Linked DNA regions of Sus scrofa. The protein of the gene in region 1 purifies or fractionates together with the protein of each later gene. This does not show direct contact. Links are inferred from orthologs where the notes say so. Each region holds a gene or a part of one and is shown in the gene's direction. Other genes may lie near its edges. The genes, in order: DYRK1A, RB1, SEC16A, LZTS3, ANAPC4, LRCH3 and TRMT61B.

The links.
Region 2: the proteins of DYRK1A (region 1) and RB1 purify together in Homo sapiens (affinity purification with mass spectrometry; 4 studies listed by BioGRID and IntAct, with this or other methods). This does not show direct contact. The link is inferred for Sus scrofa from reciprocal best matches to the Homo sapiens genes DYRK1A and RB1.
Region 3: the proteins of DYRK1A (region 1) and SEC16A purify together in Homo sapiens (affinity purification with mass spectrometry, with the first as the bait; 3 studies listed by BioGRID). This does not show direct contact. The link is inferred for Sus scrofa from reciprocal best matches to the Homo sapiens genes DYRK1A and SEC16A.
Region 4: the proteins of DYRK1A (region 1) and LZTS3 purify together in Homo sapiens (affinity purification with mass spectrometry; 3 studies listed by BioGRID and IntAct, with this or other methods). This does not show direct contact. The link is inferred for Sus scrofa from reciprocal best matches to the Homo sapiens genes DYRK1A and LZTS3.
Region 5: the proteins of DYRK1A (region 1) and ANAPC4 purify together in Homo sapiens (affinity purification with mass spectrometry; 3 studies listed by BioGRID and IntAct, with this or other methods). This does not show direct contact. The link is inferred for Sus scrofa from reciprocal best matches to the Homo sapiens genes DYRK1A and ANAPC4.
Region 6: the proteins of DYRK1A (region 1) and LRCH3 purify together in Homo sapiens (affinity purification with mass spectrometry; 3 studies listed by BioGRID and IntAct, counting the BioPlex papers as one, with this or other methods). This does not show direct contact. The link is inferred for Sus scrofa from reciprocal best matches to the Homo sapiens genes DYRK1A and LRCH3.
Region 7: the proteins of DYRK1A (region 1) and TRMT61B purify together in Homo sapiens (affinity purification with mass spectrometry, with the first as the bait; 3 studies listed by BioGRID). This does not show direct contact. The link is inferred for Sus scrofa from reciprocal best matches to the Homo sapiens genes DYRK1A and TRMT61B.

Annotation. Positions count from the first base shown.
Region 1 is NC_010455.5:201,007,295-201,011,305, forward strand, and holds the start of DYRK1A (dual specificity tyrosine-phosphorylation-regulated kinase 1A), read left to right. Parts: upstream 1-1,211; 5' UTR 1,212-1,623; intron 1,624-2,924; exon of another isoform or gene 2,925-3,043; intron 3,044-3,309; exon of another isoform or gene 3,310-3,598; intron 3,599-4,011. UniProt on the Homo sapiens protein: Dual-specificity kinase which possesses both serine/threonine and tyrosine kinase activities. Exhibits a substrate preference for proline at position P+1 and arginine at position P-3.
Region 2 is NC_010453.5:19,199,136-19,202,635, reverse strand, and holds part of RB1 (retinoblastoma-associated protein), read left to right. Parts: intron 1-1,248; coding exon of another isoform or gene 1,249-1,266; coding exon 1,267-1,394; intron 1,395-2,455; coding exon 2,456-2,601; intron 2,602-3,500. UniProt on the Homo sapiens protein: Tumor suppressor that is a key regulator of the G1/S transition of the cell cycle. The hypophosphorylated form binds transcription regulators of the E2F family, preventing transcription of E2F-responsive genes.
Region 3 is NW_018084833.1:1,281,649-1,285,148, forward strand, and holds part of SEC16A (protein transport protein Sec16A), read left to right. Parts: intron 1-114; coding exon 115-220; intron 221-1,022; coding exon 1,023-1,163; intron 1,164-1,901; coding exon 1,902-2,015; intron 2,016-2,158; coding exon 2,159-2,351; intron 2,352-2,665; coding exon 2,666-2,890; intron 2,891-3,341; coding exon 3,342-3,421; intron 3,422-3,500. UniProt on the Homo sapiens protein: Acts as a molecular scaffold that plays a key role in the organization of the endoplasmic reticulum exit sites (ERES), also known as transitional endoplasmic reticulum (tER).
Region 4 is NC_010459.5:32,506,093-32,510,311, forward strand, and holds the start of LZTS3 (leucine zipper putative tumor suppressor 3), read left to right. Parts: upstream 1-1,419; 5' UTR 1,420-2,737; intron 2,738-2,795; exon of another isoform or gene 2,796-4,219. UniProt on the Homo sapiens protein: May be involved in promoting the maturation of dendritic spines, probably via regulating SIPA1L1 levels at the postsynaptic density of synapses.
Region 5 is NC_010450.4:19,335,753-19,339,252, forward strand, and holds part of ANAPC4 (anaphase-promoting complex subunit 4), read left to right. Parts: intron 1-242; coding exon 243-304; intron 305-384; coding exon 385-423; intron 424-522; coding exon 523-624; intron 625-1,388; coding exon 1,389-1,463; intron 1,464-2,730; coding exon 2,731-2,904; intron 2,905-3,500. UniProt on the Homo sapiens protein: Component of the anaphase promoting complex/cyclosome (APC/C), a cell cycle-regulated E3 ubiquitin ligase that controls progression through mitosis and the G1 phase of the cell cycle.
Region 6 is NC_010455.5:134,500,079-134,503,578, forward strand, and holds part of LRCH3 (leucine-rich repeat and calponin homology domain-containing protein 3), read left to right. Parts: intron 1-2,309; coding exon 2,310-2,361; intron 2,362-2,732; coding exon 2,733-2,882; intron 2,883-3,500. UniProt on the Homo sapiens protein: As part of the DISP complex, may regulate the association of septins with actin and thereby regulate the actin cytoskeleton.
Region 7 is NC_010445.4:110,396,923-110,400,422, forward strand, and holds the end of TRMT61B (tRNA (adenine(58)-N(1))-methyltransferase, mitochondrial), read left to right. Parts: intron 1-475; coding exon 476-553; intron 554-636; coding exon 637-680; 3' UTR 681-938; coding exon of another isoform or gene 939-1,027; 3' UTR 1,028-3,350; downstream 3,351-3,500. Other genes in the region: SPDYA (speedy protein A), read right to left, coding at 939-1,027.

The DNA of each region.
Region 1 (4,011 bases):
TTGCCTTTGGAATGGATTAGCAATGAGATCCTGCAGTGTAGCACTGGGAACTATGTCCAGTCACTTATGATGGAGCATGATAATGTGAGAAAATAGAATGTGTACATGTATGTGTAACTGGGTCACCATGCTGTACAGTAGAAAAAAATTATATTGGGGGAAATAATTCTTAAAAATAATAAAAATATATATTAAAAAAAACGGACTCAAATTTAACTTGGTGTTAAAGGTTGCAAATGCTTAAGGGTCCTGAGAGAAGTGAAACTGCCTGAACAGGATGGGGGTGGGGAGCAGGGAGAAGAGAAAGAAGCAGGAGGGAGGAGGTGGCAGTGTAAGCTGGGGAGCCGTCAAGATATCAGCCTCTTACCCCAGCAGGGACGCTTTTGGCCACTTCCTCCTGTTTAAGATGATGCAATGTAAATCCAGGTTGTAGTTAATTTAACAGAAAATAAACTGGAAATTAAACCACCACCCTAACTCCCCCCCACCAGAAAACAATCAAGTTGAATGTGGACTTTAATTACATTAGCAGGGCAATTTTGAAAGTCCAAAAAAACTCTTGATAGTCATGGCAGTTTGTGATACCATGAGAATCGGTCTAAGCTATTGGCCTACTTTTTGCCTAATTTATCTAAAGTTTAGTCTGTTTTCTTTCACGGTCTGTGCTAATTTCAATGGATGCCTTAGTAAATCAAGGTTCCAGTAGCCAGAGAAGAGAAACATTTATTGGAAACACTCGTGTCTTTCCTTGAGTCATAGAGGATTGAGCTCAGTATTTACTGTGGGGTTGTTTTTCTTTACTGGTATCTGCTGCTGCTTTACTTGTGAACAGTCCAAGCTTAAGACAAAATTGATACGAACACTATCATAAGATGGCAAAATCAAGCTTAGAAATCAATCAATAAATTAGGGACTTGGTGTAAAATAATATCCATAGTATCCTTTTTGGCAAAGATTAAATGCCATTTTACTAGGAATGGTACAAAATACAATTTTTAGCCAGTGGCTGTCTACTGATTACAAAGTAGCCAGTACAGCATGGCTACTTCCATACCTAGGTTTCAATGCCGAGAGAGAACACCTAGTAATATTCAGCCAGCCAGAGGGGTAGACAGAATAAAGATAAACGAAAGCGAGACTATTAATCAAGAATTGTGGGCGAATTAAAAATCTGGAAACTGAAATGGTGCATGAGAAAGAAAATCAGGGAGTTGGACAACGATACGGTATAGCCTAAGACGATTAATTTTAGGGGCATTCCGATGGAGAAGGAAGACTGCCTGAAAGGTGGGGAGGGGTTTGAAATCGGTGGGAAAGCCCGGCTGAGCATGCACAGCCTAAAAAAGTTTGTATGATGGCTCCGTCCATGATTTCTGAACGCTGGCACTGGCCGCAGCAAAAAGCCGAGTGACATGATTTAATCAAGGTGTCAGCCGCAGGGGCATCCCGGATTCGGGCGAAGCGTCCGGAATTCCTGAGATGTCTGAAACGCGGAGGCGGCCTCTTCCCCACCCCCCACCGCGGCCTCCGTGGGCATTTTCCGGCGAGGGGGGCACGCGGGGCCTTCCAAGAACAGTTTAAACGCGCGGACGTGCGCTGCCGGCGCGGTCCCCGGGGATGCAGGTGAGAGTCCCCAGCGCGGGCGCACCGGAGTGGGCTTCCTGGGTCCCCGCGCGGCCGCAGAGCCCGGCCCCCTCCCCCCGGCGCGGGCGGGGCTGCGGGCGCACGACGCGGAAGCGCGGGGCTCCGGGGGCGGCGGCGCGGAGGCCGCGCGCGCTCTCCGGGCCGCAGTCGGCGCGGGCGGCGCGGGCGCGGCGGGCGCGGGGCGGGGCGCGGCCGGGAGGCCCTGGGCGCTGGAGCACAGGCCGGCCGCCGCCTCGCCCCCCTTCCTCCGCCCTCTCCCTCCCTCGGCCCGGCCGTCCCCCTCCTCTCCCCTCCCCCGAGCGAATCACGCGCCCTCCTCTGACACTCGTAGCGGGCCTGAGCTCCGAATTTATCCTTCACGTGACCTGAGGGGGTTGGGTGGTTGGTTGGGGACGGAGGGGGAGAGGGAAAGGAGGGAACGGAATCTGCCGTTGCCCGAGCAACAGGCCCCGCCCGCCGGCTTGGGGCCGGGGGGCGGGAGGAGGACGTCAGCACGTCAGCCGGGGTTTTGCGTTTTGATTGACAGTTGCTATAGCGACCGGGTCGGTCCGTCGCCATTTTGTTGGTTGGTTTTTTTTTAAACCCTTTCGCTTCCCGCCCGAATAATAATAAAAAGCCCCATTGGAGTGAGGCGGGGGTGGCGGCGGCAAGAGCGGCGGGGGGATCCGGGGAGACTGCTGCCGTCGCTGCTGCTGATCGCGGCCCAGGTCGGGCTCAGGGAGCGGACACCCCGAGCGGGGGGTGCGGGCGCCGCCGCCGCCGCCGCTTCTGCTGCTGCTGTTCCTGCTGCTGCTGTTGGTGCCGCTGCCGCCGCCGGCGAGCGGGCGGGACCGGTGTGAGTGTGAGAGTGTGTGTGTGAGTGAGCGTGTGCGAGTGTGCGTGCGTGTGTGTGTGTGTGAGTGTGTGTGAGTGTCTGTCTGTCTGTGCGGGCGGTTCTGGCTCTCCTGGCGGAGGAGCCGCCGCCGCCGCCGCCGCCGCCGCTCGGGCCCCGGCGCTTCTCGCTGCGCAGGTTTGGAGCGCGCGCCATTTTGTGAGATTTACAAAATCCTCCTCGGGAAGAAGCCGCCGGGAGCAGCCGCGACTCGGCGCCCGGCCTCGCCGCCGCCGCCCTCCGCGCCGGGCCGGGCCGCGCGGCCCCGCCGCCGGGAGTCGGGGTCCGGGGACTGCGGTATTTGCCGGGGAGGGGGCTGTCGCCTCCCCGGCCCCGGGCGCCGCTGGAACCGCGAGCCGGAGAGAGACTGAGAAGGCTGCGGCTCGGCCGCGGAGCCGGGAGCGCCGGGGGCGGAGAGAGGCGGCCGGGGCGGCGCTGGCTGCGGAGGCCCCGGCGGGAGCGCAGCGGCGGGAGCCCAAGGCTGAGACTCACCGGAGGAAGCGGCGCGAGCGCCCCGCCATCGTCCCGGTGAGTGTCCGGCCTGGCCGCGGCCCCGCCCGGCCCTGCCCGGCGCCCGGCTCCCCCCGCGGCCTGCAGCCGGGCCCGCGCCGAGGCCGGCCGGGCGGAGGGAGGGACCTGCCATTTTAGGAGGAGGCGCCGCGGCCCGGGGCTGGCCGCCGGGGGAGGGAGCCCGACGGGCCCGGTCCCGGAGGAGAGGCGGGTGCGAGCGGAGGGAAAGTTGCCGAGGGTGGGAGCCGAGGCCGCGGCCTCCCGGGAGCCGGGGCCTGGGGGCCGGAGAAAGCGCCAGACCTTCACTGGTCGCCCGAGCGAAGGGGAGGAGGTTGTCTTCCTCCTCCTCCTCCTCTTCCTCCTCATCCTCTTCCCCCAGCTCCTCCCTCGTCCCTCCTCTCGGTCCCCACCAGTGTGGGAACGGCCGGGGTTCTCCGCAAGGACAATGCACGGGTTAAGAAAATGGGGCTGGCTGCTGGGCGAGGCGTCGGGGAAGGTCGGGCGCCCGGTCCCCGCGCGGCCCTTGGGGCGTGGGCTGGAGCCAGGGCCCTCGGCGTGCTCCGAAGTTGTGCCGTGAGTGCGAGGGAGCCCGGCCCCTGGACGTGGAGGAATGACCTGCTTAGCGGGCGGAGGAGTTGGTGGCTGAGGATGCGTAAATTGGGACGGATACCTGCATACTGCCACAAAACTTCGCAAGTCTGTTAATAGGCACAAACCCACTCCCGCTTAGACCCACCGGAGCTGCTGAACAGCTCAGCGCTCAGCCGAAGGCCCCTGCCGGGTCTGAAGTAGCTAAAAATGGCAGAATTAGTGAGTGACTCTGACTCCTTCCCTGTGCCTGCCGTCCAACCCTAGATGATAGGGCTGGATCTTGTAATCGAGGTGCAGTCCTTGAATGCCAGCACCACTCCGCCCAGGTTGTCCGAAAATCCACCTTATAGCATTGTTTTCACATTGATTTAAAGATGAGGAGGAAGCGTGCGAGG
Region 2 (3,500 bases), on another chromosome or scaffold:
AAATAAGACCAGTTTGGAGACAATTGGAATAGTCCAAGTGAGAAATGTAAATGACTTGATCTAAGAAATGTTAGTAGAGAGAGAAAGAAGTGGACAGATCTGGGGTGTATTTTAGAGGAAGATTTAATAGAACTTTCTTTTGCATTGGCCTTGAAGATTGAGAAAAGGAAAGAAATTAAAAATAGCTCCTAGAGTGACTTAATAAACTGGATGTAATGTGGAGCCATTTTTTGAAATGGGAAAAATGGAGGGAAAATCAAGAATTCCATTTTGGCCTTCTCAAATCTGAAGTCTAGTAAGTAAGTGAATATTTTCACCCGGAATTCAAGGGAGATTAACTTCTACCCAAGTCAAGTCAGTCTACAGTATTGGTAGCGAATTGAGGAGAATTGCAAGTGTGACGGGAGACTAGATCCTGATCCTTAGACGGTCGTGATGGTGATTCCCCTTTCCTGCTGCACTAGGTAATGGATTGCCTGTGGTAGAAACGTCTGTAGTAAGGCGCACGTCTACTTCCTGCTCAGAATTACTTCTGTTACTAAAAAAAAAAATTTAGAAAGTAGATCTGGAGTTTCCCTCTAAAATAAATATAGCACAGAGCAGTAGAAAGTCAGAAGTTGAGAGAGAGTACTTCCTAATATCTCTGCCTTGATTTATGCCTGACATATTTAGTATACAGGTGTAAATCTGCTTTAATAATGCTATCTGAAATATTAGTCATGTAATTCTATACTAGGTAATTTAGGAAGGCATATGTGTGTGTAACTTAAGTCTTCTATATGTGGACCATAGTTATAAATGAAACATTTTTAAACAAAGAATCAGAGAAATTGATATTTTGATATCAATGGCTTATTATTTTAATTAGGAGTCATTTTACATCTATACACTATACACTATAATTATTAAAATCGAACATATAAACACATACAGCTGTGGTTTTCAATAAGGTAGGAATTCCCACTAGAAGCCATTTATTAAAATAAAATTAGAAATGATGACAAGCTTAGTTTTCCTATTAAGCTCCTTTTTCCAACTTATATTTAAGTAGGAATTTGGTGTAGAATAACAGATTAAATAGACAAGATGTGTTTGGATGCATGTCTACAGCCGTGTGTGTGTGTGTGTGTGTGTGTGTGTGTGTGTGTGTGTGTGTGTGTGTGTGTGTGTGAGAGAGAGAGAGAGACAGAAAGTGATGGAGATTCTTAGCAAACTTCAAATGAAGACTTTTCCTTTGAATATATCCAGGTATCTTTCTCCTTTAAGATCCCCCAAGAAAAAAGGGTCAACTACACGTGTAAATTCTACTGCAAATTCAGAGGCACAAGCAACCTCAACCTTCCAGACTCAGAAGCCACTGAAATCTACCTCCCTTTCACTCTTTTACAAAAAAGGTCAGTAGATGTTAACTTGAAGAGTATGGACTCTGAAACCAGGCTGACTAGATTCAAATCTTGGCACTTCTGCTTAGTAAGCATGACTTTGGAAAAGTCACTGAATGTCTTTGTGCCACAGTTTCCTCTTCCATAAGATGGAAATAATAATAATGTACCCTATGAGTTTTGAGGTAATTAAATGAATTAATACATAAAATACTTCCAACAGTGCCTTGCACATAGTAAGCACTCAGAAAGTGTTAGATGTTGTTATTGTTGCTATTGCTGCTATACTTTCAAGTTTATGTTTGGAAATATTTGCTGTTATCATGACTTTTGCTGTTCAGGTGTGTGAGTTGAGATTATACAGTGTGCTGTGGCCTGGTGCATTGCATTTCTGGGTGGCCCAGTGGCATGGCATTCTCAGTTTGCGTGTGGGTTGCGACGGGGCGGGGAGGTGATTTGGTGTCTGTTGGATGTGTATATACATGCAAGTGCATGCCCGCTTGGAGCTCTTTGAAGGAAGGTGAAAGGTCAGATTCCTCTGTGATAAACCTTTTTTTTTTCTGATTTTATTCAAGTCAGCAATATACTGAGCTTCATAGGCAAGATAGAGCAGTGTTTCCAAAGTGTTGTCCCCAACCAGCTGAATCCACCTCACCTGGTAAATTGTAGGAAGGATTTTTTTTTGGAGCCCCACCTTAGAATTACTCAATCAGAAACTCTAAGAAGAGGGAAAAGAATCCTTTTTGAATATTGATAGAATTTTCAACATTTTTTGTGATGAGGGATTACCAGTGGAACTGAAACAAACCCTCTTTGGGTCTGATTTCACAATATCTTAGGATCTTTCTTCTTCCACCTATGCCTCAGTTTTATGCTGTAATAATTTGCCTTCTATGTATATAGCATGGCACTAAGACTAGAAACCATTTATTCATAAGGGAAATAGTGGTAGAGATGAATTTAATGTTAAAATGCTGTTTAACAGCATTTTGATTATAGCAATTTCATGTTTTGAAAAAGTCCACTTGTGATAAGTCGAGAATAGATATGATTGATTCTCCTTATTTCTCCAGTGTACCGACTAGCATATCTTCGACTCAATACCCTGTGTGCACGCCTTCTGTCTGATCACCCAGAACTAGAGCATATCATCTGGACCCTTTTCCAGCACACACTGCAAAATGAGTGTGAACTCATGAGAGACAGGCATTTGGACCAGGTGAGAAAATTATGCACATCTTCTCTTCTCCCCCTTACTTGTTAGCTCTGTAACTGATTTCTTTTCCTTTTTTTTTTTTTTTTGGTCTTTTTTTGTCTTTTTGCCATTTCTTGGGCCGCTCCTGCGGCACATGGAGGTTCCCAGGTTAGGGGTCGAATCAGAGCTGTAGCCACCAGCCTATGCCACAGCCACAGCAACGTGGGATCCGAGCCGAGTCTTCGACCTACACCACAGCTCACGGCAATGCCGGATCCTTAACCCACTGAGCAAGGCCAGGGATTGAACCCCCAACCTCACGGTTCCTAGTCGGATTCGTTAACCACTGCGCCATGATGGGAACTCCTGCATGTGAATTTTAGGATCAGCTTGTCAATTTCTGCAAAGAAGCCAGCTGGAATTTTGATAGGGATTGCTTTTAATCCTAGATCAATTTAGTAGTACTGTTGTCTTAACATTGTCTTATAGTTCATGAACATGTAATGTCTTTCCATTCACTTAGATCTTGAATTTCTTTCAACAATGATTTATAGTTTTCAGAGTACAAGTCTTGCACTTTTTAAAAAAGGATTTTATTCCCTGTTAACTCTGTTGTAGACTTGTTTCCTCAGTTCTCTGTAAGATTTTTCATTACAAGTGTATAGAAATACAATTGATTTCTGTCTGTTGATCTTGTATCCTGCAACCTTGCTGAAGCCGTTTATCAGTTCTAATAGTTTTTTAGTGGATTCCTTAAGATTTTCAGTATATCAAATCCTATCATCTATGAATTGAGGTCATTTTACTGCTTCCTTTTAAATCTAGATGCCCTTTTATTTCATTTATTTGCCAAATTTTTCTGGCTAGACTCTCCAATACAGTGGTGAATAGAAGTGATGAGAGAGAGGATTTACTTATTTTGT
Region 3 (3,500 bases), on another chromosome or scaffold:
GAAGGAAGTGGCCGCTCTGCTGGCTCCCCGGCCTCGGCGCGGGCGAGCAGGGCGCGCGGAATGTCAGCCCCTGCGTGACCTGCTCAGGGTCAAGGGACCCCGTCTCCTCCACAGTTTGCCGTTTTTCAAGTTTGCGACCAACGAAGCCATTCAGAGGACAGAGGCCTACGAGTACGCCCAGTCCCTGGGGACACAGGCCTGCTCCTTACCCAGCTTCCAGGTGGGTGGGGACCGCGGGGCGCCAGCTCCCAGGTGGGCCAGGGCTCTGTGCGGACCAGCTGCAGAGCCCGAGGCTGTGGTCTCTCCTAGAAAACGAGGCGGCGATTTTGGAAACCTCGAGGCGTTTGCTTTTGATACTCGAGAACTAAAGCCTGTTGAATTGAGTTTGAACTTTGGTTCTCAACATCTTGAACATTAGAAACATTTGGGGAGGAGTTCCCACCGTGGCGCAGCAGCAACGAATCCAACTAGGAACCGTGCGGTTGCGCTTCGCTCCCAGGCCTTGCTCAGTGGGTTGGGATCTGGAGCTGCGGTGGCTGTGGCGGAGGCCGGCAGCTGCAGCTCCAATTCAGCCCCTCGCCTGGGAACCTCCACGTGCCGCAGGCGCGGCCCTAAAAAGCAAAAATCCCCCAGAAAACACAAAAACATTTAGGGGAGTCCCTGTTGTGGCTGAATAGGTTAAGACCCCAACTAGTGTCCGTTAGGACGCAGGTTCCACCCCTGGCCTCGCTCAGTGGGTTAAGGATCCGGTGTTGCTGTGGCTGTGGTGGAGGCCGGCAGTTGTAGCTCCAGTCGGACCCCTAGCCTGGGAACCTCCATGTGCGCGGGTGCGGCCCTAAAAGCAAAAAAAAATAAGTAGCTCCAGGCACGAGCACTGGCATTGCTGTGGGCAGCGAGGGGGCGCCAGGAGAGACATGACGTGTTCAGAGCCGCGTCAGCCTGCAGGGTGGTCACGGGGCGAGGCGGGGCCCGGGAGGAGGCAGTGTCCCTGACTCGGTCCGTCCGTCCGTCCGTCCGCTCAGGTGTTCAAGTTCATCTACTCCTGCCGCCTGGCCGAGATGGGGCTGGCCACGCAGGCCTTCCATTACTGCGAGCTGATCGCCAAGAGCATCCTGGCGCAGCCCCACGGACACTCCCCGGTGCTGGTCAGCCAGCTGGTCCAGGTAACGCCAGCGACGTCAGAGCCGCGCTGACACTGCGGCGGGGGGGGGGGTCAGTGGGGGCTCGGGACAGACGTCATGACAGCACTGAGACAGTGTCCCCGCGGGCACATGCCAGCCGTGTCCCGGTGACACAGGGACCCACCTCCGGGGAGCGCGTCCCCGGCACCTCAGCCTGGCAGTTCCCGCGGGGGCCCCTGCTGCCCGGCAGCCCGGCTGTGGGTCCCGCTGGGCCCTCGCTCCGTGGGACAAGGCGGTGTGCCGGCCCCCAGCCTGGGGCCGCGGCCGTGGGGCCCTCCCCACCAGGACGCTCACTTTTGAGAGCGAGCTTGCGTGAGGCCAGAAAGAGCTTCCGTCATGGAGGGTGTTAGACACACACAAGACGCCAACGAGGACGGGTCCCCGTCACGGCCCCAGCTTTAGCCGTGAACTCGAGGCCTAGCTCGTCTCCCCCATGTCCCCCTCTCCTCAGCCCCTCAGGCCGCAGGGCGCTCGGGGTGGTCAGTGGAGGAAGGAGGCCGAGTGAGGCGGGCCCGCCCCCTTGGGTCCGGGTGCCCGGGCTTCAGGTGGCCGGTCCCGGGCCAGGCTCTTCCTGGGCCGTGTCACGGGAGCGCCTTTCAGAGACGCTTCCGCATCTTCCGTCTGCACCCCCAGCTTGGCTCTGCAGACTCCTTTGCTCTGGAGCAGCAGGTCCTAGAACCTTCCCGTGGGAACAGGCCTTCATCTCTCGTGTGTTTCCAGGTCGCCTCCCAGCTGCGCCTCTTTGACCCTCAGCTGAAAGAGAAGCCAGAGGAGGAGGCGCTGGCGGAACCCGCCTGGCTGGTGCGGCTGCAGCGCTTGGAGAAGCAGGCCAAGGTGCCAGCTGCTTCGCGGTGGGGCTCGACCTGCCCTCGTGCTGGGGCTGGTGGGGGAGGGAGAGGCTCTGGGGCCACCGAGGGGGGCGGGCGGGGCGCAGGGCGGCATCCGGAGGCAGGACGGCTGAGGTGTGTCTTCCGCAGGAGGGCACCGTGGCCTGGAGTCAGGACGGGGCCTTCCCGCAGTGCGGTCCCAGCTCACCCAGCTCCGAGGCGGGGCCCTGCGATGGTCCAGCAGTCGCCCAGCCAGCAGATCTGGGCACTGCCAACCCTCTGCTGGCACCCCCTGTGCCCGGTGCGGAGCACTTAAGCCAGGACGTGCGGCTGATGCCCTCCGGTGAGCCACTCCGGGTCCTGGCCGCTCTCAGGCCGCCCCCTCTCCGGTCCCTCCCGTGCTGCGTCCACTGGGTGTCAACGGCATCAGGGGTCGGGACGGGCCGGGGGTGGGAGGCCTCTCAGACCTGGAGGTGGAGGAGGGCAGGGGAGGCCTCAGTGCGGGCAGAGCCAGCCCCGGCTCAGAGGCTGCTGGGGGGTTGTGTCAGGGCCGCTCCGAGGCCCAGGGCCCCCCCGTCCCTCAGCGAAGGAAGGATGTCCGGCAGAAGCACCGGGCACTCGTGACCTCAGACCTGCTCTTGCTTTGTCTCCATGCAGCTCCGCTGTTGCTCCCCGAGGGCCCGCTGGCTGTCCCCGCCAAGGGGCCAGTGTTCCCGGTGCCGCCTGCCCTGGGCCCTGCTGAGCTGGGGCCTGGCTGCGGGCCCTCGGGCTGTGCACTGGGCTTTCCAGAGCCCCCGGGACCTGACCCTGCAGCTCTGTACCCAGGGCCCGGCCAGCCGCCTGCCGCACCGTCTCTCCAGGAGGCCCGCAGCCAGGACCCAGGTGGGTCCGCCCCGGGGCCGGCCTGAGCGCGGAGCTCTTCGGGTCTGGTGTCTGAGGCGGTGGCTGCGGGAAAAGACCTCGCTGCCTTGAACGTGGGGCACAGGGCGCTAAGCGTACGCCCAGCGTTCGGGACGTGACTTGAAGATGAGTGACCCGGCTTTTTGTGGGGCATGACGTGGGAGTGGGTGCCCAGGGCGTGGCCTTGAGGGGCCAGCCTGCAGCCCTTGAGGACACACAGGAGGCTGTGACCCTGCTCCCGGAAAGCGGCTCCTGACCCCGGGCTGCGCGGCTGACTGTCCGCTCGGCCAGCCTGGTGTTGGCAATGAAACTGTCTTCGCACACTTGGGGGCATCTGAGACGTGCGGGGGTGTGGAGGGCGGGCCGTGTGTGTCTCCGGTGCCGCCCGCTGCTCCGGGGGCCTGGCTCACACGGGTTCTCGCCTCCTCCACAGGAGGGACGCCGCAGGGGGCGCCCGGGAGAAGCGCGTTTCCAGAGCTGGAAGAGGATTCCGGTGGGACGTTCGCTGCCGTGGTACTTGCCCGTGTTTAGAAAGCTTCTTGTTTTCCTGCGCTCCCTCGCAGAAGTACTCAAGTTCTTTGCTCTTGAGTGT
Region 4 (4,219 bases), on another chromosome or scaffold:
GTGGCTGTGGTGTAGGCGAGCAGCTGTAGCTCTGATTAGACCCCTAGCTTGGGAACCTCCACATGCCGTGGGTGCAGCCCTAAAAATACAAAAAGACCAAAAAAGAAAAAAAATTGGAAATTCCTGTTTGGCACATCATTTTAAGGATCCGGCATTGCCACAGCTATGGGACAGGCTGAAACTGTGGCTAGATCCCATCCCTGGCTGGGGAACATCCACATGCCAGCTGTATTTGTGGCCAAGGGGGAAAAAAAATTGAGATACTCTTTCAGAATGCAGAGAAAAGGGACAAAGAGATTTAATTGACAGTGATGATCCAATGTAATAATATTTTAGGGGAGGAAAAAAATCCAAACAATCTGTCAACAGAATGGACAGGAAAATAGAAAACATCTCAGCTGAAAATAATACCTTTTTTATTTCTGGATAAGTAATAGAAAAATGTCTATACTGAAACTTATACTGGCAATGTTTGACTTTTGAACGTAAAGAAAAATGCCAAGGGAGTTCCCATTGTGGCTCAGTGGTTAACGAATCCAACTAGGAACCATGAGGTTGCGGGTTCGATCCCTGGTCTTGCTCAGTGGGTTAAGGATCTGGTGTTGCCATGAGCTGTGGTGTAGGTTGCAGACGTGGCTCAGATCCCGAGTTGCTGTGGCTCTGGCGTAGGCCGGCAGCTCCGATTAGACCCCTGACCTGGGAACCTCCATATGCCGTAGGAGCGGCCCTAGAAAAGGCAAAAAGACCAAAAAAAAAAAAAAAAAAGAAAAATCCCAACAAGCATCAGGTGAACTACTTGTCGAACAGAGGCCAGCCCAGCTTTGCTACCTTTCCTGGGGGTGTTGGGTGAGCTATAATTGACAGATAACATTCTATTAGTTTCAGGTGTACTTGCTACCATCTTAAGAGCCAAAAGACAATGAGATAAGGATAAGAGAATCTTGAGAGGAAAAGTCTGAGATTGAAGAATTCTATTAACAGTGAAGCCACCATTTGTGTGTAGACACACAAATGTGTAAAGCCATTACAAAATTCTCATCTAGAGCAAAGACTTAGAAAAACATAACATCCTGGAGTTCTCCTTAAAAATCAGTCAAGTGAGGAGTTCTCACTGTGGTTCAGTGGGTTAAGAATTAGACTAGTATCCACAAAGATGTGGGTTCAATCCCTGGCCTTGCTCAGTGGGTTAGGGATACAGCATTGCCATGAGCTGGGTGTAGGTCACAGTCGATGCTTGGATCTGGTGTGGCTGTAGCGTATGCCAGCAGCTGGAGCTCCGGGTCTACCCTAGCCTGGGAACCTCCATATGCTGCAAGTTCGGCCCTAAGAAAAAAAAGTGTGAGGATATCAGGCCAAGAGATGGAAAGGTATAGGTATATTAAATTACTCATTATATAAGGAGGAACATAAAAATGAATGACTTATTGACTTTAATAATTTGTCAAATATAAACCGCATTTTTATTTGATAAACTATAAGGCAACAACCAGGAGAATTAAAAACAGATTTTCTGCCTTGCAAGTCACTATGGGAGATAAAAGCAAATATAGAAAAATTCAAAACACAGGCAATAGCCGCAAATTAAAACTATAAAATGAGATGACTAATGACAAAACGAATAAATCTGTAACAGTAAAGCTACAATGGGTTAAATACCAGCCCAAGTGGAGACGCTGCAGTTTTTCAGACAGACCCTTAGTGCCTCCAGGCTTTTCTTAATGCTGAACCCTAGGCGTGGCTTGCTTGCCTGCCCTAGTCAAGGCTAAGGCTTCAGTTCCAGACAGATTTCTTCCTCCCGGCAGTACTCCCAGGCCACCTGGGGGGGAATGAGCAGTCCTCTCTCATTCCCGGCAAGCGAAGCCGGTGCTCCGTATTGGAGCATCCCCCCAACTCCCTTTCACTGCGAGGGGCCGGGCATCGTGCCAGGTTCCGGCCACTGGGTGAAGCACTCAAACTCTCTGCTCGATTGTAATGTTATATCTTTTTCCCCGTCCCCCGCCTTTTCCTCCGGACTGTGATCCTTGGCGAGAAGCAAGTTTCAAGCCGGCTCCAATTGGGGACGGACGCAGTCACGGACCATCGAAGCCTTCTTTTCCCCTCAAACCTGCTTGTCCCGGCGCCGGAGCGGATATTCCTTGCGCCGTGTTGGTTCCACGCGCCACGGCTCGCCCCGCCCCCACCTTGCAGATTTGCAGGGTCTTACGGCGTCCGCTGGGAGGCCGCGCCCGGAAGAGCAGGAGCGGGGGCGAACTGGAGCTCGGGGCTTGGCGTCTAGAGTCCCTTTCCCAAGCCAGAGGGTTTCTCCTTGTCGCCAAAGAAGTGAGGTTCAGGGAAGGCGCTGTCCTACTGGATTTGTTGAAGAGGAGAGACTGGGGGCTGAGTCCAAGGGCCTTGGGGGTCAATAAGGTATCAGCAGGGAGTCTCGGTGCAGATTCGCGGAGCCCTAGGGTGGGTGAAATAGAGGGTCCCATACGCGGACCGGTATGCAGCGACGAAGGGGTTAAGGCATTTCGCCCCGCCTCAGACCGGGGATTGGCGGGCTCGGGGGGCGTGGCCGGAGGGCGGGCCCGCGTTTGCCGCAGCCACGGGTGGGCGGGGCCCGGGCGGGGAGCGGGAGGGGCGCGGAGCCGAGCCGGGCCCGCGCCTCGCGCCCCGCCGGGCGGGCTTCTGGCTGCGCCAGCGAGCGGGGCCGGTGGCGCCCGTGCTGAAGACCCCGCACCGGACCCTGAGGCAGCGAGTAAGTGAGGCAGGCCCTCCGCGGCGCTCCTTGCAGCTCCGACCTGTCGCTGTGCCCGCTGCACCGCGAGGCTCGTTGAGTCAGACCTGGAGCTGGGGAGGGGGTGCGTCCCACTGCTGGGGGTCCCCGGGGTGAGGGGAGTGGAGATGAGGCCGATGATGTCATGGATGCTTCGCAGGGCCTGGGGGATGGTGGCGGCCGGAGGGGGTGCGGCCCGGATTATGTCACCTCTTCCCTCTGCGCCCCGCCCCCCGGGCCACACGCGTTGGTGGGGAGCACCGGGAGGTGCCGGAGGGATTTCAACCACTGCAGAGACCCTTCCCCGGGCACCTCCTCGGGATGGCCTGGGGCCCTGGTCTCTGTTGGCTCTGCGGGCCGCGGGCTGCTGGTGAATGGCGTGCACCCCCCCACACCACCCCCCGTGCAGGAGGCTCGTGTGTGCGCGCGTGTGTCCTCGGGGTGTGTGTGGGGGCGCTGTCAGCCCCCTCAGTCCTGAAGCACGGGTTTCATCAGAGCCAGGATCTAAGGGATGGATCCCTTCCCCCTTTGTCGCCAAGGGAAGATGGATCTCCCTTCACACATCCCAACCAAGAAGTTCTGGAGACCTCTGCACCCTCAAAGCCCTACTGTGACCCCGATACCTTTTCTCCCTCAGTCCTTCCCAGAAGCCCTTCCTGATGTTCCCGTCCGGATTCATTGCCTCTTTGCATTGCTCATAACTGGCCTTCCCACATGCATTCTCTGCATCTCCTCAGTGCCAGGGCCTAAAGACCCCAACACTCTGTTGTCTGTTTCCCTGCGGGGGCACCCACAGTCCAGCCCTGGAGATGCCTCAGAATGAAATCTTGGAGTAGCCTGAGCCAAGTGCTTTAAGACCTCTTCCCGCAGGGGAGATCAGGAATGCTGTCCTGGGAGGCAGCATCTGGATTGGTCCTTGAAAGATGCAGAATGGGCACAGGGAGCTGAGAACAGATTTTGTGCATGGAGTGAGATGGGTTCAGGTCAGGGGACATAGGATGAGCAGCAGGAGAGGCCTTGGGGGCTCTGCTGCAAGCTCTACCTTGGTTCTGAGGGTTGAGAGGAATGCCAGGCATTTACCCATAATACATTCACTTCTTAACATTCCTGTAATGTAGGTGTGAGAATCTGAGGTGGAATAACCTGCATGCAGTTCCACCTCTAATCAGTTGAGCTGGGATTTACACTTGGAGCTGATGCCTCCATAACTCTGTCTACTGCACTTGGTGCTGTTCATGGAAGAATTCGGGCAGAGCAGGGACAACGGCTTTGCCCTTTAGAAAGTGTCCCTCAGCAGCTGCACAGGGGAGGGAGTGCAGAGGAAGAAATGTGAGTGAGAAGCCCCCAGCAAGGATGCTGGCAGGAGGGGCTGGTGAGATCTTTAGGGGTTGAGTGGGCTGAGCTTGGGGCCTCTGAGACCCCAAGAGAAGGGTGAGTGTTCCTAGCTTTAGGAGGGGCACAGAT
Region 5 (3,500 bases), on another chromosome or scaffold:
TGCATTGCTGTGGCTCTGGTGTAGGCTGGTGGCTGCAACTCTGATTCAACCTCTAGCCTGGGAACTTCCATATGCTACACCTGCAGCCCTAAGAAGAAAAAAAAAGTTCCTTGCGTGAAGGTCAGGTGATACAGATGACTTGTTACTAGACTTAAACAGTGACAATCAGTCACTTTCTGTGGCATATTTATCTGTGTGTACATACATGCTTTAATTATATTTTTAAATCTTATTTTATTTAGGATGTAATTGGAAAATCAATGAATCAAGCAATATGTATTCCATTATATAGAGATGCTAGAAGGTAATTTTTTTTACCTTTTGGGTCATACAATTCAGTGGCCAATTGGAATTTTTCTTACCTTTTTTTCCCTTTTGTTTTAGTGAGGACTCCACACGGAGATTGTTCAAATTTCCTTTTCTGTAAGTGTGTGTTTCTCTCTTCCCTCGTGCGAACAATATGGGTTTGTTCTGTGCATTGATAGCTAAATATCATGTTTTGACATTAATTTTTCTCCTTAGGTGGAATAATAAAACTTCAAACCTACATTATCTTCTTTTTACTATTTTAGAAGATTCCCTTTATAAAATGTGCATCTTAAGGAGACATACTGATATTTCCCAGTAAGTATTAATCTGAATTTTGAATCAAAGAGATAAGATTTTGTTGTATTTAATAACAAAACATATAACTTCCCTTCCCTCCATTTAGTTAAGCTACCTTATGATTTTAGGCTTGTTAACGGTTCTTAGTCTTAGTTTTCACATTATTAAGGTGATAATGCCAAATTAAGAAGCTACGTGATTCCTTCTAGTTCTAGGTTATTTAATTTTGCCTTGGTGTATAGCTGTTGCATGTAGGCTGTTTTTAGGGCTAGAAAATAGAACACTCATGGTGACATCTCATGAACTTGTACATGTTCAAAACTCTATTTTGAGTCCCTTAAGGAAAGGATTTTTACCTCTGGTTAAGTATGGCTTTCATTAAACAAGAGACCTTCTTTTGAGAATCCAGATAAAAGTTCTGAAAGACAAATCATCTTCAGAATGTCCCTATTATCTTAAATGCTTTTAAATCTAAATTCGACAGAAATTTTTTGAAGCCAAGATGTAGCCAAAGAGAAATAATTTGGTTGTCTCAAACATCTTCATTTTATAAGGTGTCTTGCTGCTTTGGTGACTATGAGATTTTAAACCCAGTTGTAATTTTGATGTTAGGTTTAAATTAGGCATCGGGATTCTAGAGGGAGTGTCATGGTGTCTTGGCCTGGGATTTGGTGATTAGGTAAATGTACGAACACTGACAGTCATGTTCTTTCAGGCTTATTTAGATTATTGTCTCTCCATGTTGTCCTACAAAGTCTCTTTCTCCCCCTTCTTTCTTCAAGGTCTGTAAGTAATGGACTAATTGCTGTTAAATTTGGGAGCTTCACATATGCCACAACTGAAAAAGTGAGACGAAGGTAACTCCTGACTGTTGTTTGGATGCAGCGTGTGTATAGTAAATACAGTTACAGGAATAGGGTGAGACTCGGTTACAGTGATGATGTGCTTAGAAGGCCTTTGTCACTCACAACATAGGGGCCTGGGTTGGTAACATATTTTATCCTTAGAAGATGATTTGACTTAAAATCCAATAGAACCTTACTGCCCTACAGGAGTGTATGTAGCATGGTTTCCTGTAATTGATACCTCTGAGCTCTCTGTCTGCTGAGAGAGCAGTGTGGTTCAGGGGCAGGTGGCTGAAGTCTTCTTATGATCACCAGACATGTGAGGTGGTACCGTCACTGCCATGGGATTTTCTTAGGGTGCACAGGGTAACAATACCTGTGTCATCCCGAGGCTTTGCAAGACAAAGAACTGACACTAATCCTGAGCAGATGTTTCTGTCACTCTTAAAAGGAAGTTCTTTATGCTACTGTCTTTGAAGTTGTTGTGTCTTTTCATATGTAAATCTTATTTTTACTTTTCATTCTAGTTAAGTCTGTTTACTATGTGCATGCATGTGTGTGTGTGTGTGTGTGTGTGTGTTCATATAACATTCATGTCAAGAGTTTTCTGGAACTAACATGATGGAGGATAATATGAGAAAAAGAATGTGTGTGTCTGTGTGTGTGACTGTGTCCCTTTGCTGTACAGTAGAAAAATGACAGAACACTGTAAACCAACTATAATGGAAAAAATTAAAATCACTTAAAAAAAGTTTTCTGGGGAGTTCCCGTCGTGGCTCAGTGGTTAACAAATCTGACTAGGAACCAAAAGCTTGCTGGTTCAATCTCTGGCCTCACTTAGTGGGTTAAGGATCCGGCGTTGTTGCCATGAGCTGTGGTGTAGGTCGCAGGCGCGGCTCGGATCCCCGTGTCGCTGTGGCTGTGGTGTAGGCCGGCGGCTACAGCTCCGAAATGACCCCTAGCCTGGGAACCTCCACATGCTGTGTGTGTGGCCCTAAAAATACAAAAGACAATAAATAAATAAATAAGTTTTCTGGAAAGCCAACTTCGCAGGTTTTTCTTTTTTCATGATTACCCATTAATATTTGTAAATAATCAGTATAACGCATACCTGTGACTTTAGTGTAAACTAATGATATCTTTTAAATGTTACCGTGTGGAATGTGGCTTGATGTTTTTATTGTCGGTTTTTCTGCTTGGTACCAGTGCAATGTTATGTATACAGTATTTCCTCAGTTGTGATCTATCTTTGATATAACAAAACTTATTTTAATTCTAGCACCTACAGTTGTTTAGATGCACAGTTTTACGATGATGAAACGGTAACAGTAGTTCTTAAAGACACCGTAGGACGTGAAGGAAGAGATCGACTCCTGGTCCAGTTGCCATTGTCTGGGGTGTATAACAGCGAAGACTCTGCAGAATATCAGTTCACTGGGACTTACTCTACCAGGTAACTAACTCGTTAGTAAGATTGTCGTTCTGACAGAACGGTTCATTTTTTTTCAGTGTATATTGTACTTTCTAGTTCTTTAGGTATGATAGATAATAGTTGCTAGGGATGATCATAAAGTCAGCTGGGCAGAAATACTCCTTTTAATTGAAAAAATACTGATTTCAGCAGTACTTCTGTCCTTTTGCTTTATTAGTAAATCAAGAATTACTTGCTTACACAAGGTAAGGGATTATTTGGGGTGGACAATGGAACTTCTCTTTCACAGGTATCATTAACCCCAGTTTGTAGTAGAATTATTTTAGATTTTGCCTTTAGTATTTTCCTTTAAAATTTGGACCTCGGTAGCCACGTGGAGGGCCCATTGTCCATTCCAAGAGGTGGCTTTAGAGTGAAATTTAGGTAGGATTGCTTCTCTAATTTAAAATGTGTCTATTGGCTTTCCTTGAAAGTGCATCAAACACCTGACTAAGATTTCTGCTTTAATAAAATATTCTGCCTGTTTGGAAGTACAGTATTTTCACAGAATATAGTGTCACAGCATCTTTATACAGTAGCTGGTAGAGTTATGTTGGAACTGGGAATCTTGGCAGAAA
Region 6 (3,500 bases), about 67 Mb from region 1:
ATGGGCCAACATACCACCGGTGATTGGCTGGGGGCAACTGTCAGTTCAGAAATGTCTTCCTGACTACCACTTTCTTTCTCTCATATGCCCTGCTTCTTCCTTTGCTTCCATCTTTAACTTTTCACAGCTTAGTTTTTGCCATCTCAGGTAATTTTTTTTTTTTAATGTATACCCATGTTTTTTTTTTTTTTTTTGTCTTTTTGCTATTTCTTGGGCCACTCCCTCGGCATATGGAGGTTCCCAGGCTAGGGGTCGAATCGGAGCTGTAGCCTCTGGCCTATGCCACAGCAACTCGGGATCCGAGCCACGTCTGTGACCTACACCACAGCTCACAGCAACGCCAGATTGTTAACCCACTGAATAAGGGCAGGGAACCCGCAACCTCATGGTTCCTAGTCAGATTTGTTAACCACTGCGCCACGACAGGAACTCCTATGCCCACGTATTTTTAAATCTCTGTGCTTTCCCTTTTTCCTTCCTAGATTCTGTGGCTGTAGAGTGGGGAAATGTTGTATAGTAGAAAGCACTAAACTGCAAGTCAAGTAGCTTGAATTCTAATCCAGGCTCTGCCAGTAAGTAGCTATCACTTAACCTCTGAGAGCCTCGGTTTTCTCATTTGTAAAATTAGTGGCTTGGACTCCACAATTTCTGAGGTCTCTCCCAGTTCACATAGCTGCACACCTAGTAGTTGAGGAGGGTAAATCAAATAGATATTTCAACTTCAACTCTATAACTTGCTGGCTTTGTCACCTTGGGAAAGTTACTTAACTTTCATGCCTCAGCTTTTCAACTGTAGAATAAGGGTTATAATAGTTTTCTCTTGTTGTAAAGGGTAATTGAGAAATACTACGCATGTTTATAAAGTAATTTACAGGGTATGTGTATGTAGTACATGGTAATAGCTCAAGGAATGTTAGTTTCTTTGTGCCTCTGAAAAATATTGTTCAAAAAATGATACAAGTGAGTTTATATATGCAAGTATTGATTACATGTGTACATCAAGGGAAAAAGTCCCAATTTTACAGAAAAATAAAATTCTAAACGAGACCTTTTTGGATTTCCCATTGTGGCACAGTGGAAATGAATCTGACTAGGAAGTTAGATGAGGTTTTGGGTTTAGTCCCTGGCCCTGCTCAGTGGATTAAGGATCTGGCATGGCCATGAGCTGTGGTGTAGGTCCCAGACACGGCTCAGATCCTGCATTGCTGTGGCTGTGGTGTAGGCCGGCTGCTGTAGTTCCAATTTGACCCCTAGTCTGGGAACCTCTATATACTTTGGGTGTGGTCCAACAAAGCAAAAAAATAAAAAATAATAAAATAAAAAAGACCTTTTCCAGGAAGATCTCTCTCGGTTGGGTCTTTGGAAAAAGTTTGAAGCAAGGAATTTACACATGGTAACTGAAGAGATCTTGCTAAAGAAAAGATTTCGTAGTGGATATATTTATTAAATGGAGTGAGAGTCCTGAACACCAGGTTAAAGAATTTGTATTATTGTTATTAGAAAATAATAAACCACTGGATCTTTGAGGGATTTGTTTTCATTTCCCTAATAACTTACTAATTTAATGCATTTAGATCAACCTGACAGGCTAATAATCATAGTTAAAAATTTTAGGTTCTAAATGTCAAGAAGTCATTGCTCCAAAATTATTAGTTTACAAGACACAGATGAGTAACAGAGGCTTAAAACTAAATCCAATTCAGGAAAAAGATAAACACCGAAGTATAGGAAATAACCTGATAGAACTGAGTAGCAGGTTTTACTGTTTTTAAAAAAAAAATAAAATCAGGTTTCATATTTTTCTCTAAAGATAAAAATTAGCAAAATCTTTATTTTTGTTATTAAAATTGCTCTTCAGTTAAAATGGGAATAGGAGTGCCTACAGGCGCAGTTACCAGGTTGTATAGTATTCCAGATTTCTGTTGATAAAATGGCTTTGTATATAAAACCATCTCTATTTACATGTATCTTGTTTCAGTCATAATAGTAAAGAAGATTAAAGTTCTGTGTGCTATAGAGAAATGATAGTCTTTGAAAAGTGATCTCAAATAACTGTATTGTCAGCGCTGGCTGACATAGACAGTTGTTAGCTGTCTGTAGCTTGAGGATGAAATGTGAGTTGGAGACATCAGGTGTTCCCCTAGCTTAATTTAATGACCTTGGCTCAAGTTTACAAAACGTAACTGGCCTTTCAGTGCTGACCAGTTTGCCTGCTGATTAATAGAGAGCTATATTAACAATAAAATTCTACTTGTCTTTTATCTGTCTTATCAGAGTGTTTTCTTTCCTTTTTATCTTTTTTGGGTCAGGGTTCCAGTTGAGCCATCTTCTCTCTTGTCACTATCACCAAGTCACAATCAGGTAAAAATATTTTTTTCAGTTTTAGTTTAGGGTTTTTTCTTTAAGATGGTGTTCTTCTTTTATAATACTTAAATTACAGTTAATTGCCAAATATCTATTAATTTCACTCTCTCACTCCTCAGTCATACAATTCATATAATATGTGCACCTGACACTTGCTAACAGTGATTTAGGTGCCAGACAGAAAATAAGTCTTTACCGATACGATGGTTTTATAGGAAAAGATTAGCAGTAAACACATCTAAAGAAATGCTAGATAACTGTGAAGTAAAAGTTGCTTGGGTCAGCAGTAATTTCCCAAATTGATAAAGAACATTGATAAGCTGCTCTTTATCCCTACTTGCATATGCAAAATGATACTTTTGTTCCAGTTTTCACATACAGACTTAGAACTTCATCGAAGAAGAGAACAGTTAGTAGAACGTACTAGGAGAGAGGCACAGCTTGCTGCCCTGCAGTATGAGGAGGAGAAAATAAGGACCAAGCAGATTCAGAGAGATGCCGTCTTGGACTTTGTCAAGGTGAGTCCTTTAGATTCAATGAATAATATTCCTAAAGTTTCTTGGAAGTGCTTATTTGTTTCGCTGAGGCTGTCAGTTTTTATTGTCTTAGTGAAAAAAAAGTTGATGTTTTAATTGAGAAACCTTAACTAAATAGTATAACTGTCTCCTGCTTGTGGATTAGATGTCCTCGTATGCAGATAGGCTTGAGGACAATCAGAAGTGATTGATCTTGCTTTTAGGACAGTGATAGTCTCTTGCTCTTCATTAGCAACCTGTCATTAGACATATCACTTTACTGTCCAGCTGCCATTTTCTCAATCTCCAGTGCATCATGAAAATGGAAGTGCTTTGTAAGCTGTAAAGCACCATGCAAGTATAAACTATTGTTATCGGAACCTGTCTCTGACTTTCTTATTTCTAGTGAATACCAACAATTTGAAAGGTTCACAGGCTTAGTACTTTACAGTCATCTTTGATTCTTTCCTTTCTGTTTTCTCCACGCCTACCCAGTTAATAACCCATGTTAATACTGCTTTTATAAACATTTTACAGCCTCTATAGTTGCCTCTAAATCAAGCTTACTTTTTTGCTTATATTACTTTGTTTTTTTTTTTCCCTGAAATTACCTTGGATTAT
Region 7 (3,500 bases), on another chromosome or scaffold:
CACTGAGCAAGGGCAGGGGTCGAACCCACAACCTCATGGTTCCTGACAGGAACCATGACAGGAACTCCTAAAGAATGTTTTAAATTTAGATCAGTGATTATCACTGAATGGAAAGAATTTTAATAGGATGTGACATGTAAATAGCTAATATTCCAAAAAGCAGCTTCTAAGATGCTGGGGGAACTTTTCAAAGAACTAAGTTTAGGTCCTTGTTGTATGTACACATTATTTAGGCATTCAGACATTCATTGACTTATGATATGGGTTTATCCGTTTGACCATAAAAGCATACAGAAGTTTATCATGTAATCCTTAATCAAGTTTCTGTAAGATAACTTTCAGAGTAGCTCCAAAATAAGTACTTAAAAAAAGTCTGAAAGAAAAAAACTTCTCACAGTAATTTTTTTTAACAGTGTTGTGAACAAACTATAAAATATTTTATGTAGCTTACAACACATATTTTGTTCTATAACAGAAGAATCACCTTGTGATTTTCCCTATGGATCATTTCCCTATATTGCTAGACCTATACACTGGCAAACTGGTCATACGGGTGAGTAATGTTTTTCAGGCTGTATTATATGGTGTTTTCTCCCATTATTGTAATGACCTTACTTTTTTCTCTCCTTAAACTAGCCTTTCTTGTCAAGTTGAGGAAGTGCAAACCACAACTTAACTGAGTACCTCAGATGACAACTGATTTGAAGACAGATATATATTAAAATAAAACTTTATATTACAAATCACTACTTTTGTAGGTTGGTATTTTTAGCTATTACTATGATTTGTGTAACTTTTACATGTAATCTTGAAAAAGTAACAAAAGCTCAAGAAAGATGTGTAACATTTCAAAACTCCTTAAATGTCCCATTTTGACACTTGTCTTGCAGTTAGACATTTTGTAGTTAATGATTCCAAGTTGGTTTAGTTGAGCCATCTCATTCTTCACTTCCTGTAAACCACTCCATAGATTTGTCTTTCTTCATGAAATTAGTTTTCTTTTCTTTGTTTGATTGATGGTCATTGGCTACCAAAATAAAATATGCACTTTAAGATAAATTTTATGTACCTGTGTATTTTAAATACATATTTTAATGGCTTGTATGTATCTTAAAAAATAACAAATCTGGGTTATAGTAAATAATAGGGAGAAAATTGATAAGAATGATATAACTGTCTTAAAAATTATAACAAAAAAGTAACAATTCTTGAATCTTTTATTCTTCTCAGCCTCATTTTAACAATTTGAAAGAACATCAGAATTATTCTATTGTTATAGAAATTGAATGTTTGGAAAGATACACTTTATAAATATGAATTAAATAGGACTAGGGCTTATGAGTATTCATAGGCACCAGTTTAACATTTACCTTACATTGTTTTAAGAAGTTTATAATGTCTTTTCATTTAATATGTATAGCTCATCCTTAAGGTTATCCATGTTTTACAGATTAACAAAAGCTTATAGTTATTATTTAAATATAGATGTTTTACAGTTTTGAAGTAGTAGTACCTGGGAGGGTAAATGCTACTTACCCCTTAGACTAGGAGTATTTAAAATAATACATGTATTCTAACTAACACTGTACATATTTTTCACTATGTGGAAAAATTTCATCTAAAATCTCTGCCTTTTTACAGCTTATAGCATAGCTAGACATTAAATAACCACACAAATATAAAACTAAAACTGATTGAATCATAAGTAGGGTAGTCTTCTGGTACCATTCCTATAAAATATCTGAACACTCATACAACAATAATGGCTTTAAAATTTTCATGACATTTCTAGACATATAGAAGCTCTCACATTTTAAAATTCCATCATGGAATACTCCCCTTTCTTCTATTTAACTGCTAGTGAAATTCTGCCCTTCATTTATCTTTTTTGAATGCAGGCCCTGGAAAAGGGGTTGGCTGCAGAGCAAAGAAAGGTTGTGCCTTCTCCTATTTCACATAGAAAAGTTTGTGTTCAGTACACTGTGCTTTGTAGATGTTGCATTGAATAAAACCTAACAGTGTCCATTTCTAATACTGAGTTGAAAACCAAACTACATAGGCAAATAAACATTTATTTATATAGTTATCAAAGTCCAGGTTAAGCCCTTTATCCATCTCTCCACTGAATACTAAGCATGTTTACAATCTGGCTTGTGGGACAGATGCCTTCTTCTAAAGTTAACTTTCTATGTTCATGTCTGGCTCTCATTTACCATAATATAAACTCCAAGAGATCTGTGATTGAGTCAAAGCTGTATTCCCAGTAACTTCCAGAGGCACTGACTTTTTTTTTTTTTTTTTTTTTTTTTTTGTCTTTTAGGGCCACACCACACCCTCAGCACATGGAAGTTCCCAGGCTAGGGGTTAAATCAGAGCTGTTGCTGCCTGCCTATGCCACAGTCACAGCAACATGGGATCTGAGCCGCATCTGCAACCTATACCACAGCCCACAGCAATGCAGAATCCTTAACCCACTGATCAAAGCCAGGGATCAAACCTACAACCTCATGGATGCTAGTCAGGTTCGTTACCATTGTGCCACCATGGGAACTCCCAGAGAGCCTGACTTTTTCACTCAATAAATGGTCAGTAAAATTTACAATGGCTCAGAGTCTACACTGGATCAGATGTTGTTTCATCTGTTGACTTGGTTGTTCTAGGGGGAAATTTTAGTACATAGCTTGTGGATTTCTGGAAGACCTTGAGTTTGAACTTTATATGTCAGAGTCAGTAGGGAACTTCTGAAAGTTTCCATGATCATGTAAAAGGAGGTATTTTTTAAAAGTTAGTCTGTTGGTGGTATCTGAGTATTTAAAGGAAGGGAAAAACTATTAGATCAGAAACTTCATAGTAATACATAGTGTACAGCTATGAAGTGATTGGTAGTAATATACAACAAGGAGGTGTGGAAAGGGGGCAGATGTAAAAAAATATTGTGAAGGAAGGACCAGACAAGCTGATGGTTGATTGGATGGAGAGGGAGTGAAGCTATATATATTCAAACTTTCATCCACTGTTCAGAAGCCCTTTCCCTTGTTTCTCTGGGCAAAACAGGATTCAGTCAATGCCCAGCTCATAACTTACTTCCTTAGAGAAGACTTTACCATGTCTCTCACCCTACAGAATTAATTCTGTAATCTTTTGCATTGATCATATCATTAGCACTGCCCTTATCACATCATTAATTGATAAGCCCTGATTATATCTTCATTAAGGATTTTAAACTGGGATGACTGAAACAGTGATAATAACAAAAGTAAAGTTCAGAGAGGATTTCTTTTTAAGGAAAAATTATTTGATTTTAGATTATATAACAGTTGGAATGTCTCATGCCTGACTACATGACCCAAGACTAAGGTTTGATACGTTGCTTTTTTCCCTTGGCCTCACTCTAAAATCTGAGGAGTCCTCAGATAATACATACTTTCAGATGGACTAGCCTATGTGTCATAAGGCTTATGACAACATAAGGTAAAGAGAAACAATGTCATTTAGTTAGT